Danio rerio: one gene and its partners. The protein of the gene in region 3 interacts with the protein of the main gene of each other region in a pairwise test. Links are inferred from orthologs where the notes say so. Each region holds a gene or a part of one and is shown on either strand. Other genes may lie near its edges. The genes, in order: rchy1, nrap and klhl41a.

Region 1 (3,654 bases), on a different chromosome or scaffold from region 3:
CAATTAGTCAAAATTAATCGTCAAACACAAAAAAACAAATACAGTACCTATTTAGTATCCAAGATCAGCGAATCAGTGCATATTCCTGAAGTGCAAGTAACTTATTTCATGCAGGGCAGAAGTTGAAGCACTCACCCGTGCAGCAGATGACCGCATGGCAGAACGTGAGCTCCAACTCTGGACGTGTGGATGTCCTCCATGCAAACGGGACAGTTCTGCCTGGAGACGTTCTCAACACACTGAAAAGCACAAACACTGCTTCACATCTCACTACTGACAGCAAGCAACGTTCAAGAATCAAAACGCTAAATTGCATACCTTGTGCTTGTCTTTTAGCTCAGTACCTAAACATAAATTACACTTCGTACAATGGAAGTATTTCTCTCTTGGACCAATCCTAAGGACAGAAAAAAAGAGGGTCGATCTGAATCTTATTAGAAGAATTTCATATGTGCTTGTTCAATAAAAACATGTAGAGTTGAAGTGAAATTATTCGTCATCCTGTGAATTGTTATTTCTCTTTGACATATTTCCCAAATGGTGTTTAACAAGGAAGGAATTTTTCACAGTATTTCCTGTAATATTTTTTTCTTCTGGAGAAAGTCTGATTTGTTTTATTTTGGCTAGAATAAAAGCTAAAGAACAATCCACAGTTATACAGTGACTTGCCTAATTACCCTAACATACCTAAATGACCTAGTTAATCATTTAAAAGTCACTTTAAGCTGAATACTAATGTCTTGAAAAACATTTAGTCAAATATTATATTCTGTCATTGTAGTGGCTCTTTTCTTTAGAGGCTCTCTCAATGGTTATGAAGACAAAGTCTTACCCAAAATGTCTTTTAAAATTTTACTCTTTGCAAAGGTCAGACAGTCATACAGCAACAGGTTTCTGCAGAGTGAGATGCAGCAGGAAGAGTGTGTTCCCTTTTTATTGAGTCCCTTCTCTCTACCTGTCCTCAGGTCTTCACACTTGCTCCCAGTTACATTCAGAATAGATTTTTAAAGTATTGCTACTCGTCTATAAATCACTAAATGGCCTCAATACAATACAGACATGCTCTCTGAATAGAAACCCAACAGATAACTCATATCTTTAGGATCATATAAACTAGAAATCCAAGAGTTCAATCAAAGCAGAGTGAATCGGCCTTCAGCTACTAACAGCGCCCTCTGCTGGAATCAGATTCCAGAAATGATCAGGGGCCTCATGTACGAAGACTTGCGTGGAAATCATACTAAAACATTGCGTACACACAAAGCTGTAAATGTGCGTACGCAGAACAAAATTCAGATGTATGAAACACTGCGTTCGCCGAATCTCACGCATATTCTTTTGTACATCTGAATGAACGTGAAACTGAGCGCAACATGCACGAGCACAAATCCCCTCCCTGCCTCCTCCCCCGTATGAATATGCTAATGACTCTACTTTGGCAAAACCCAACGAAAAAGCAACGGCAAAACGAAGCAAGAAGAGAAACTTTGAACAGAATGTGAATTGGAGGTGCTGCTTTCGGAGGTAGACCGGAGAAAAGCGGTGTTATTTGCAAGTTTGTTCTCCGGAATTAACAACAAAAGAAAAAAATATATAGTCGGAGAGTTTAGCTGATGCGGTTAACACAGTTGGATCTGAACATCGCACTGAGTGAATTAAACAAGAAATAGTGTGATTTATAGGTGTAAAATGTTGCACTACCTTTAACAGTCTCAGTGGCGCAGCTTGTAAGACGCATGTCAACATGTTTTGACACGTTCGAGCATGAACTCGGTTCGAATCCAGTGTCTGATGAACTCTTTCTTCTTTTTTTCCCCGTTACATATCAGATTTTGCCAAATATTTATCACGAGAAAGACAAGTAGGAATAATTAATAAGTTTGTGCATCATATTTTATTTGCACATTTATTGAATGGAAATGTTTCTGATTCACGCATGCAAATTCATCTTCAGATAGTGTCTTTATAGCAATGTGCGTGCAGTAGATCGCTCAGATTACATTGGGAAAACAGACGACCGCTGCAAATTGTGCTTTAATGTTTAGCTGGTTAACTGTATGGTATGGAAACCTTATATACCTGCTAGATGAACCCGTCTCATACAGCTGCCATTGCAAGGCTCAGACACTTTGTAGAGAGGAATTTAACACAACTGCCTCTAGAGTCCAGAGTCGCCAATGGAAATAAAACAGACACGCACAAAAAATGTGGGTACGCCTGCCATAAAGCTGCGCACATTCCCACGTTCAGTTCATTGTTAGTAAATCCAAACGTGAGCGATTCTGAGCGTGAAACCTGGCGTACGCAAAGTTTTTGTGTGTACGCAGCGTTGATACATGAGGCCCCAGATGTGCTCCAACATTAGGCACATTCAAATCAAGACTGAACACACATCAGTTTAGCCGTGCCTTTACTGAATAAGCACTAAGCTACATCCGACAGACTGCACAGTTGTGTCTTTCTTTTCTTTTTCATTCTTTAATAACCTGTTTTAACACATTTTCATCTGTTTTTAAATAGTTTTTAATATTAGTTTTTTTTTCTAACACTTGTCTTTTTTATTCTTGTTTATGTGAAGCACTTTGAATTGCCACTGTGTATGAAATGTGCTATATTAATAAAACTGCCTACTGCCTATAAGGTCAATCAGTAACATATGCCATGGATTAATTATCCTCTTCACATATTTCAATTTTAATTATTTTAATTCTAATTATTCAGGAAGGCTAATAATTTTGACTTCTATTGTATATATTAATTTATATTTTTCCCGGAGACGGTAGATGAAAACATTTAAATACAATGCAAACCTGCATATCCCACAGGGCTGGCAGTGGTACTGCTTCTTGTCTTTGTCAAATAGATGGCAAATGTCACAGTAATATTCTCCGAACTTCACTTCACACTCTTTACATATCTGTTGAGCCTGAAGGACAGAATATGCAAAAGCTTTAAAGGGACAGTTCACCTGAAAATTAAAATGTCCTAATTTTCTCTAAACTCAAGTGTTTCTGAATTTAATTCTTCTGTTGAACACAAGACATTGCGATAATGTTAGAAAAAGCAGCCATTGACTTCCATTTTAGGATTAAAAAACAAACAATGGCTGTTTAGGGCAGTACAATGGCTCAGTGGTTAGCACTGTCGCCTCACAGCAAGAAGGTCGCTGGTTCGAGTCCCGGCTGGACCAGTTGGCATTTCTGAGTGGAGTTTGCATGTTCTCCCCATGTTCACATGGGTTTTCTCCGGGTGCTCCGGTTTCCCCCACAGTCCAAAGACATCTGTTGTAAGTGAATTTAAGAAACTAAATTGGCTGTAGTGTAGGAGTTTGAGAGTGAAGGGGTGTTTCCCAGTAATGGTTTGCGGCTGGAAGAGCATCCGCTGCTTAAAACATATGCTGGAATAGTTGGTGGTTCATTCGACTGTTAATTTTCCAAAGAAAAATGAATGAATGAATGAATGAATGAACGAACGAACAATGGCTGTCCCGCAACATCTCCATTAGTGTTTAACAGAAAAAACTCATCAGGTTTGGAACAAGTGGAGGAGTACATGATGACACCATTTCTATGATTTGCTTTTAATTATGATCAGAGCTGAAAAAATAAGCAAAATATTGGAGCTTTTGTGAGAGATTTTTGTTTAGAACAATTA
Region 2 (3,654 bases), on a different chromosome or scaffold from region 3:
ATTGGGGCAACAGCTAGAGGTTTGTTGTACACAGCATGTTGTTGCAATGTTTACAGTGCTAATCCTATACTTCCAGGTTTCTTCCCACCACAGCCTCGCTTCCGTGTTTTTAATATGGCGGCCGTGTAAAATAAGCATATTGCTGTAAACCAAATTGCCCTTCAGGGACAATGGAGACATTCACATCCAATTCCAATTACTGGTCTAGTTGGCCGAAAAACATGGTCACCCAGTTCTCAAGCAAAACAAAGAGAGTGTAGCTGGTTCCCTATCGTTCCTAGTCCCCATGCTGACCACCAGCAATCATGTTAGTTCAGGCAGGCAAACAAAGCATATTGTTTTTCAAAGCAGAAAGGTGAAATATGATATAGTATTTAGGCTCTGGCATTAAGATATTGAATTTTTCTGTCAATTAGAATTCAAGTTATGCATCTCAGCTGACTAATTGTGCTTGGATATCTAAAAATGCATGGAAATAGCTTAAGTGTGTATGATAAGCCTTGTTCATGTACCTCGCTGGCTAAATCTGTGGCTTTTCTAGCCTGTCGTATGTCAAGGGATCCAGTAGTCTCCCAGCCCACTCCTTTCATCCAGTTCAGGTCAGAGCGATACTTTTTCTGCAATCAAAACAAAGTTTGTTTCATAATACTTCAACCAAATGCATATATGAGCATGTTTCCGCTTCATTAAATTGAGATCTGGGAAAACACTTACATCACTCTGCAAGCCGTAGGCTTTCTTGGCCCATTCCAGTTTCATATCACTGGGCAGGATGGTGTACTTGTGCAAGAATGTTTTGTAGTTTGTCTCTGTGGCCAGCTCCTGGGCTTTCTTGGCATGGGTGAGGGTCAACATATCGAGTGAGGCGCTGTGTTTGGTCTTGGTGTCCTCATACTGTTTCTTGTAGTTGAGGTCACTGTGGAGTTTGGTAGCATGGGTCGAGTGGGCCATTTGAGAATCGTCTGCCACAGTCTTCACGCCAATCATCTTCCCTTTTGTCATTTCATATTTTTGCTTGTACTTCACCTACATACACAAAGCATCAGAAATGATCATTTAGATTGTATTAAGTCACCATACAGAACCTAAAGCTCCAGTGTCATTGAGTGGCAAGTGAGTCATGTGCTTTCAGTAGGGTGCTTGTTCACTCACATCACTGGCGAGATCTCTTGTTGCTTTGGCAGAGAGAATCGAAAGTGTGTCCAAGCCTAGCTCAAAGCCCTTCTCCCTCTGTTCATCCCAACTACTCTTATATGTTTTCTAAAAACCAGAAACCCAATGTGTTGATTAAAAGCAGAAGTGGGTTGTTAGTTCTTGTGCAGGTTAATGGTACAAAATACAGTGTATCCACTATAAAGGCGATCAGTTGACTTTACTAAAAAAGGGAGTAAACCGGTTGCTTTTGAACGGATTACTGTAGTTGACTTAAACATTTTAAGGCAAGGGGTTTACTCTTTTTTTAAATAAATGAAATGTGTGCATAATTAAAAAAATTATAATTCAACATACTGTAACACTTTCAAGTTACAACGGGTTTATTCACTTTAAGTTAAGTCAACTTTTCACATTTAGGGCAAGAGGTTAACTTGCTTTTTTAAGTAACTAATCACTTTATACAGTGTACAAGTTTATGTGATTCAGTTCCATACCTCACTGAGAAGCTCTGCGTTAGCTTTGGCTTGCTTGAAGAGAGGCTCATCTTTGCTTATAGTGTACTGGTGCATTGTCTGTTCTGTGCCTGCCTTGTATGCCAACTGCGTCAAAAAAAAATCCAATCAATCATCTGAAAAGATTCCAGTTAAAAGAGAGACAGATCAGATCAGATGCATTGTATCTTACCCCACTCTGCAGCTCCTGGCTCTTCTTGGCATGCATGATGGAAGGAGTATCTGCCACTTGTGTGAACTTCACCATATCCACCTTCTGGCGATACTTTTTCTGTATAGAATTGAAAATATGAACATTTAAACAACACTTAACAACTGAAATTGGCTGTCCAGCAGTGTATGGTGGTATGACTTTGTGGTATGGCTAGTTGTGAAGCCTAAATTAATGTCTGGTAATGCAAATCCTGTGATCACCAACCTCACTGAAGAGTTCTCCTGCTTTCTTGGCCTGTTCTACATCTAGGCATCCATCGGCCTCCCATCCAACTCCTTTCATCCAGTTCAGGTCTGATCTGTACTGGTTCTGTAGTATATAGTATATATAAAGTAATATTTAGAGCAGTGTTTCCCAACCGTGTTCCTGAAGGCACACCAACAGTACATGTTTTGGGTGTCTCCCTTATCTGGCCCATTAATTTCAGGTTTTGGAGTCTCTTCTAATGTTCTGATGACTTGATTCAGATGTGTTTGATTGGGAAGAGGTTGAAAATGTGTACTGTTGGTGTGCCTTCAGCAACAGGGTTGGGAAACACTGATTTAGAGTATTTAGCAAACACATAGAGTTACATTATGAGTATCATTCCGCTCTGTTCTTGCATTACTTACGTCACTCTGCAGTTTGTAGGCTTTTTTAGCTTGCTGCACTTTCATGTCATCAGACAGGAGAGTATAATCATGTAACTTCTTCCTATATTCCAGATCACTGGCCAGAGCTTGAGCCTTCTTAGCATGACTCAGATTCACCATGTCCTGAGGCAGGTGGCACTTGGATTGAGTTTCCTTAGAATCCTTTTTATAAGCAACCTATTTTAAAGAAATTTTAATTGGTTAGGCTTTGTATAGGTTTGTATTTTGGATGTTTAAGGGGCTTTATGTAAGACTTTTGTACATATTGATAGCTTTTTTATTGTTTAGAAACACATAGGTTTTTAAGGATTAGCCATTTGAATAAAGGCTTTTTAAAGTTTCCAAATTTTTCGAGTGCCTTGGACTGATTTTCGTTGTTTTTTATTATTTTTTTTGTTAATTCCCTTACCCAAAGAGCACCGACAAAACATTTAAGCTACCCCTAAGCACTTTTTGTTTGTTTTATGTATATCATTATAAGTATACTTTAAAAAAACATTCCACTTTCTTTATTAAAAGGCACAACAGCGAAATTCCTTGATTCCTTAATTTAGGCCAGAATGAAAGTACAGTTTCTACACATATATTCCGTTTGTCTTAGTACACGATGTAACTACAGAAGAGTCAAGCTTTAAATAGAATTATTGAAGCAAGATTTTAAAGTGAGATGCTAATGGTTTAATCCAATTTAATGATTTATGCTAAGTTAAGCTAAAAGTGTAAATAAATATATTCAAAAATGGTAAAACTCAACTGTTTAACTCTAAGACTTGTAAAATAAACCTATTAAAATGTTAAGGCCACGAAAAAAACAAAACAAAAAGGTTTCTGAACTCTACATAAAGCCCCTTTAATTAAAAAAACTATTGTTTAACTTGACCTAACTCTGTGTATTGTTTACCTCACTGCTTAGCTTGGCCACCTGAAGGGAGTGCAGTGTTTTGGAGTCACTCACATCCATTCCAATGGCTTTGTCCTTATTCTTTGTATAGGACTCCTTATATTTAATCTGTAGACCCCAAGAAATCCAATCAATCCAAGAAATAAAAAACATTCATTTTTACCTATATTACGCATTTAATTCTTACATCACTAGCCAGATCTCGAGAGGCTTTGGCAGCTTTGAGAGTCAGTGTGTCCA
Region 3 (4,274 bases):
TGGTAACGTTAACCCTTTACAATAAGATTCCATTAATGTGTACTAACATGAACAAGCAAGTTTTCATCTTTGTTAGGGCTGTACATTAACTAAGCACAAATTTGGATTGCATTCATTAGTAAATGTTAAACTATGATTACTATTATATACTTTACAAGTATTGTTCAATCTTAGTTCAGGATAGATAAACTATGAAACCTTCTGTAAAGTGTGACCAGTAGCCTACTTTTAATAAGGTCTTTTGATGCGGAAAACATGAAATCTAATTTACCTCGGTCTATTTGAAGCCTTTTTTGTTTAGTTTCTAGTCCAAATATCTAAAAACTCTTAAATCTAGAAGCATTTTTTAGACATGTCTCATTGCTGAGTAACTTTCCATCTTTCACTAATTCAGAAGATCTCCAAAGTGGGGGAAATAAGAATTGTTTATTTCTATACACAGTTTACTTCTTGGGAATAATATTTCTAAAGGAGCTGTTAACACGTCTCATTTTAAGAAATAGTGTGTAAAAATGAAGTGAGTTTTTCCTTATAGGAAGCAAAATAATCTGTCAATGAGGTAATAACAAAAAAAAAAAAAAAAAAAATCTTTGCTTACCCCATTGGCAAATAATTTAGCTTGTTTTAAGGAAAAACTCACTTCATTTTTACTTAATATTTCTGATCATTAGACAATATTCTAGAAAATGCTTTTTAATTTAAGAATGACTAGACATTTGGACTAGAAACAAAACAAAAACTCTGTCGCTTCATGATGAAAACAGTCTCTAAACTAGTGGTGTAACGGATGACAAATCTCACGGTTCGGATCACATTAGGGTTTTTTAGTCACAGATTGGACCATTTTTCGGATCAGCCAAAAAGGAGTGGGGACAAATGTAATTTGCTTTCCATTTATATAACAAAAACATTAAAAATATGAAAAATAAAATGAAGGAATAATCAGCTGAACAAAAATAAATTGTAAAATATTCAGTACTGTGAAAAATTCACTGTCACTTCTACTGTTGCTGATAACGCTAAATATAGAAATCTAACATTATAATTTGTACAACTCATATTTTAGTCTCATTTTCAGTTTATTCACTCCTAAAATGTCATGTTTCATTGCTTGATGATCATTATTGAAAATTATTTAGTGGCATATTTTTGATGGCTTTTTGTCGCCACTTGTTTGGTTTAATAATTTTTTTTTTTTTTTTTGCGCATCAAGTTAAATGCATATGACAGTGATTTTAATCTACCATAAACATCAGTGGTTATATCTAAACTATAAACTGTTCTCCCAGTACTTCTGTGTTTTTTGACTTTTTGTAACTTCTTTACTAATTTAAAAAAGACTGAAGAACTGAATCTCTTTCTGGATTTTTGTGTTTATCAAACACAGATTTGAAAGCAGCGATTCAATGGATTAATAAACATATGCAAATCTCCATAATTTATAATTTGTTGCATGGGTGTTGAAATCCCGATCTTTTAATAATTAATCGTGCAGCTTATACTGAATGCACTAATGCAAATAAGTAAGAAAAAAACAAGTCAAGTGCGTTTCGAACTGTGGGTTGTGATCTGTACAAATCATGGATCAGCCATGATCTGTTACACCCCTACTCCAAACAGACAAAAGTAAATTAGATTTCATGTTACAAAACAATCTAAATAAGCCATGGTATAGCCATGAAATATTACCTATATCCACCCTGTATACTATATACCTGATAGAAATAGCACTGCAGCGGCGAATCCTTGTTTTCTTCATCAACAAACAGTCCTCCTGCAACATACAACAGATTCTTTTTTGACGTGATGCTGACGTGGTTTCGAGGAATCTGCTCAGCCATCGCTGCTAGAAAGCATTCGTTCTCGTTGGCGTCGTAGGCCACGGCTGCAGTGTCGTTTATCATCAGGATGAGATCCCTGTTGAACATCCCCAGCCGTTGGCTGTCATTCAGAAAACCAGGCAACTCATTTTCGCCCTCTCCTTCTTTCTCACCCTCCTTTATTTGTGGAAGTTTTCCAGCAAAAGCATCCTTAATGACCTTCAGCTTCTTGATGAGTTCGGGGTCGGCCTTAATAATGTCATCCTTTTCCACTTTCTCCTTCAAGTATTTTTCCGGCAGTAGTCGAAAGCGAATGTGTTCGAAAGCATCGCCCAAAGCCTTCGCCCGGTTTTCTTTGTTTTTTCGCACCCACTTCATCAAGAGCTCAAACACAAGCTCTTCTTTTTCAACATTGAGAGCGTCACACCCAATAATGGCAAAAAACTCAGGAGCGTTAAACTCAAGAAATTCTTCGTCTTTGGATAAAGTCTCAAAATGCTCCGCTATGAAGTCCCTAGCGGACACAGCCAATCTCGGACAATTCAAAACCAGCCCCATCCTGAAGATAGCCAAGCAGTTTCCCAATGAAAGCTTGTTTTGTAGGTAATTGACGCAAACCGTGAACACTGATGGGATCTGAAACTTATTAGCGACCGCAAAGACATCTTGCACATTGTCATCGGTAATATCGATGTCTGCAGAGTAGAGGTAGTTCACTATCATATCCATTATGTTGGGATCCACATTCTCCAACACTACTTCCTTGTTGGCATCTTTCTTCTCTGTGCCGTCTTCAGTAAAGTACAGCTCTCGGAAATACGGACTGCACGCAGCCATGATGAGTCTATGGCAGGGAAGGCTCCGATCTCCAACTTTCAGTATGCAATCCACAAACTTGTTCTCCTTCAGAAGTTCCTTCAAGCCATCCTGAAGCAGGGTGCTCTGAAAAAGCCTCAGGTCCTCTTTGACACTCATTGGTTCCATCTTTAAAATTCGCTTGATGAGGATACGATACTTCCTCTCGTTGTGCCGTCTCAGTTGTAAGAGGCTGAAATAACACAGAGCACCAACACAAGCAATTTAAGCCCCGCTTCTCTAAATATAGAGCCCTCATCTAGTCAGAAAGAATTCGGGCTGAGCAAACGGGAGTCGCGTAAAGCAGCTGTCAAAGACTGAAAAAGACAACTGTGAACCTTGGACACACTCAGAGGTCAGGGGTGTTTAAATGCGAACTATATTATTAAATGACGCGTCAGTAATTCAACAGCTGTGTAAAGAGGTTTAAAATAGTCGGAAAGGTGTATGTCATTAACCTTTTTTAACATGTTCATCATGACTCAGAAACAAGTTGATGTGACTCATTCGTGTTGCACTTGTATCTTTTTGGTTTTTATTTAAATATAGGCTCAATACAGATTAAAGCTTGGATGTCAAATAATTTTTTTAACTTATTGAGAAGTAAAACTGAGGGAATCGTCTTTGGACTATTAGCCGTCTCTGGCAAGCTGAAATAAAAGCTGGACAATCTATCCGATTACATTAAACCATCTATAAGAAATCTAGGTTTCATCCTTGATTCTGCCCTTCTATTTGACAAACAGGTAGTTAAATCTTGTTTTTTCCAGTTGAGATTATTAGCCAAAGTGAAAGGCTTTTTAACTTGTGGAATTCGAGAGATTAACTTGGGCATTAATATCATCACACTTGGACTATTGTAACTCAATTTATATAGGTATTGGCAAATCCTATATAAATCGCCTACTAGTGGTCCAAAATGCAGTCGCTAAGTTTCTTACTGGTACCTGTAAATTTGAACACATTAACCTATCCTATGCTCTCTAAGTGAAGTTTATGTATAAACAAATTTCGAGAGGATCACGTGCTTATGATTGCTAGCGGCTGGATCCGCATTATCCAATTCACTATGCTCCAATCAGATGACTCCTAAACTACTATAAATACCCTGGGTTTCATTCCACTGCTATCTTCGTTTTGAAGAGTCTTCCCTTCCACCCCTACTCCTCCTTCCTAGATGGGTGACACGGTGGCCCAGTGCGTAGCACTGTTGCCTCACAGCAAGAATGTCTCTGGTTCCAGGCTTAACCAAACCAGCAGACATTTCTGTGTGGAGTTTGCACTTTCTCCCCGTGCTCACGTAGGTTCCCCCAGGTTCCCCGGTTTCCTCCCACCGCCTAAAACATGCAATTAAGTTAATTGAATAATCCAAATTGGCACCATAGATATGCTTCTAGTACGTGGTTATCTTCAAGAGCAATCACTTACTGTTCATCAGTTACTACAGCAGGGGAGTTCTTGAGATCTACCTGAGCTCAAACTCCCCTCCCGCCTTGCAACGGGAGGGAGCCCTGGGCTCGAAGATCTCATGAGCTCAGGGCTCTCTCCCGGGACAGCATGCTAAACAAGCTTTCATAATTAATCATCAGCTAAGTGTGA

The links.
Region 1: the proteins of klhl41a (region 3) and rchy1 interact in binary tests that used the Homo sapiens proteins (3 or more experiments, as listed by UniProt). The two-hybrid records come from large-scale screens. The link is inferred for Danio rerio from reciprocal best matches to the Homo sapiens genes KLHL41 and RCHY1.
Region 2: the proteins of klhl41a (region 3) and nrap interact in binary tests that used the Homo sapiens proteins (3 or more experiments, as listed by UniProt). The link is inferred for Danio rerio from reciprocal best matches to the Homo sapiens genes KLHL41 and NRAP.

What each region holds. Positions count from the first base shown.
Region 1 is NC_133180.1:9,850,103-9,853,756, reverse strand, and holds part of rchy1 (RING finger and CHY zinc finger domain-containing protein 1), read right to left. Parts: intron 2,927-3,654; coding exon 2,811-2,926; intron 398-2,810; coding exon 319-397; intron 240-318; coding exon 136-239; intron 1-135. UniProt on the Homo sapiens protein: E3 ubiquitin-protein ligase that mediates ubiquitination of target proteins, including p53/TP53, TP73, HDAC1 and CDKN1B. Mediates ubiquitination and degradation of p53/TP53; preferentially acts on tetrameric p53/TP53.
Region 2 is NC_133187.1:32,487,418-32,491,071, reverse strand, and holds part of nrap (nebulin-related-anchoring protein), read right to left. Parts: coding exon 3,602-3,654; intron 3,523-3,601; coding exon 3,415-3,522; intron 2,691-3,414; coding exon 2,493-2,690; intron 2,191-2,492; coding exon 2,086-2,190; intron 1,939-2,085; coding exon 1,840-1,938; intron 1,755-1,839; coding exon 1,650-1,754; intron 1,261-1,649; coding exon 1,153-1,260; intron 1,027-1,152; coding exon 715-1,026; intron 618-714; coding exon 513-617; intron 1-512. UniProt on the Homo sapiens protein: May be involved in anchoring the terminal actin filaments in the myofibril to the membrane and in transmitting tension from the myofibrils to the extracellular matrix.
Region 3 is NC_133184.1:50,135,965-50,140,238, forward strand, and holds the start of klhl41a (kelch-like protein 41a), read right to left. Parts: upstream 2,890-4,274; 5' UTR 2,805-2,889; coding exon 1,716-2,804; intron 1-1,715. UniProt on the Homo sapiens protein: Involved in skeletal muscle development and differentiation. Regulates proliferation and differentiation of myoblasts and plays a role in myofibril assembly by promoting lateral fusion of adjacent thin fibrils into mature, wide myofibrils.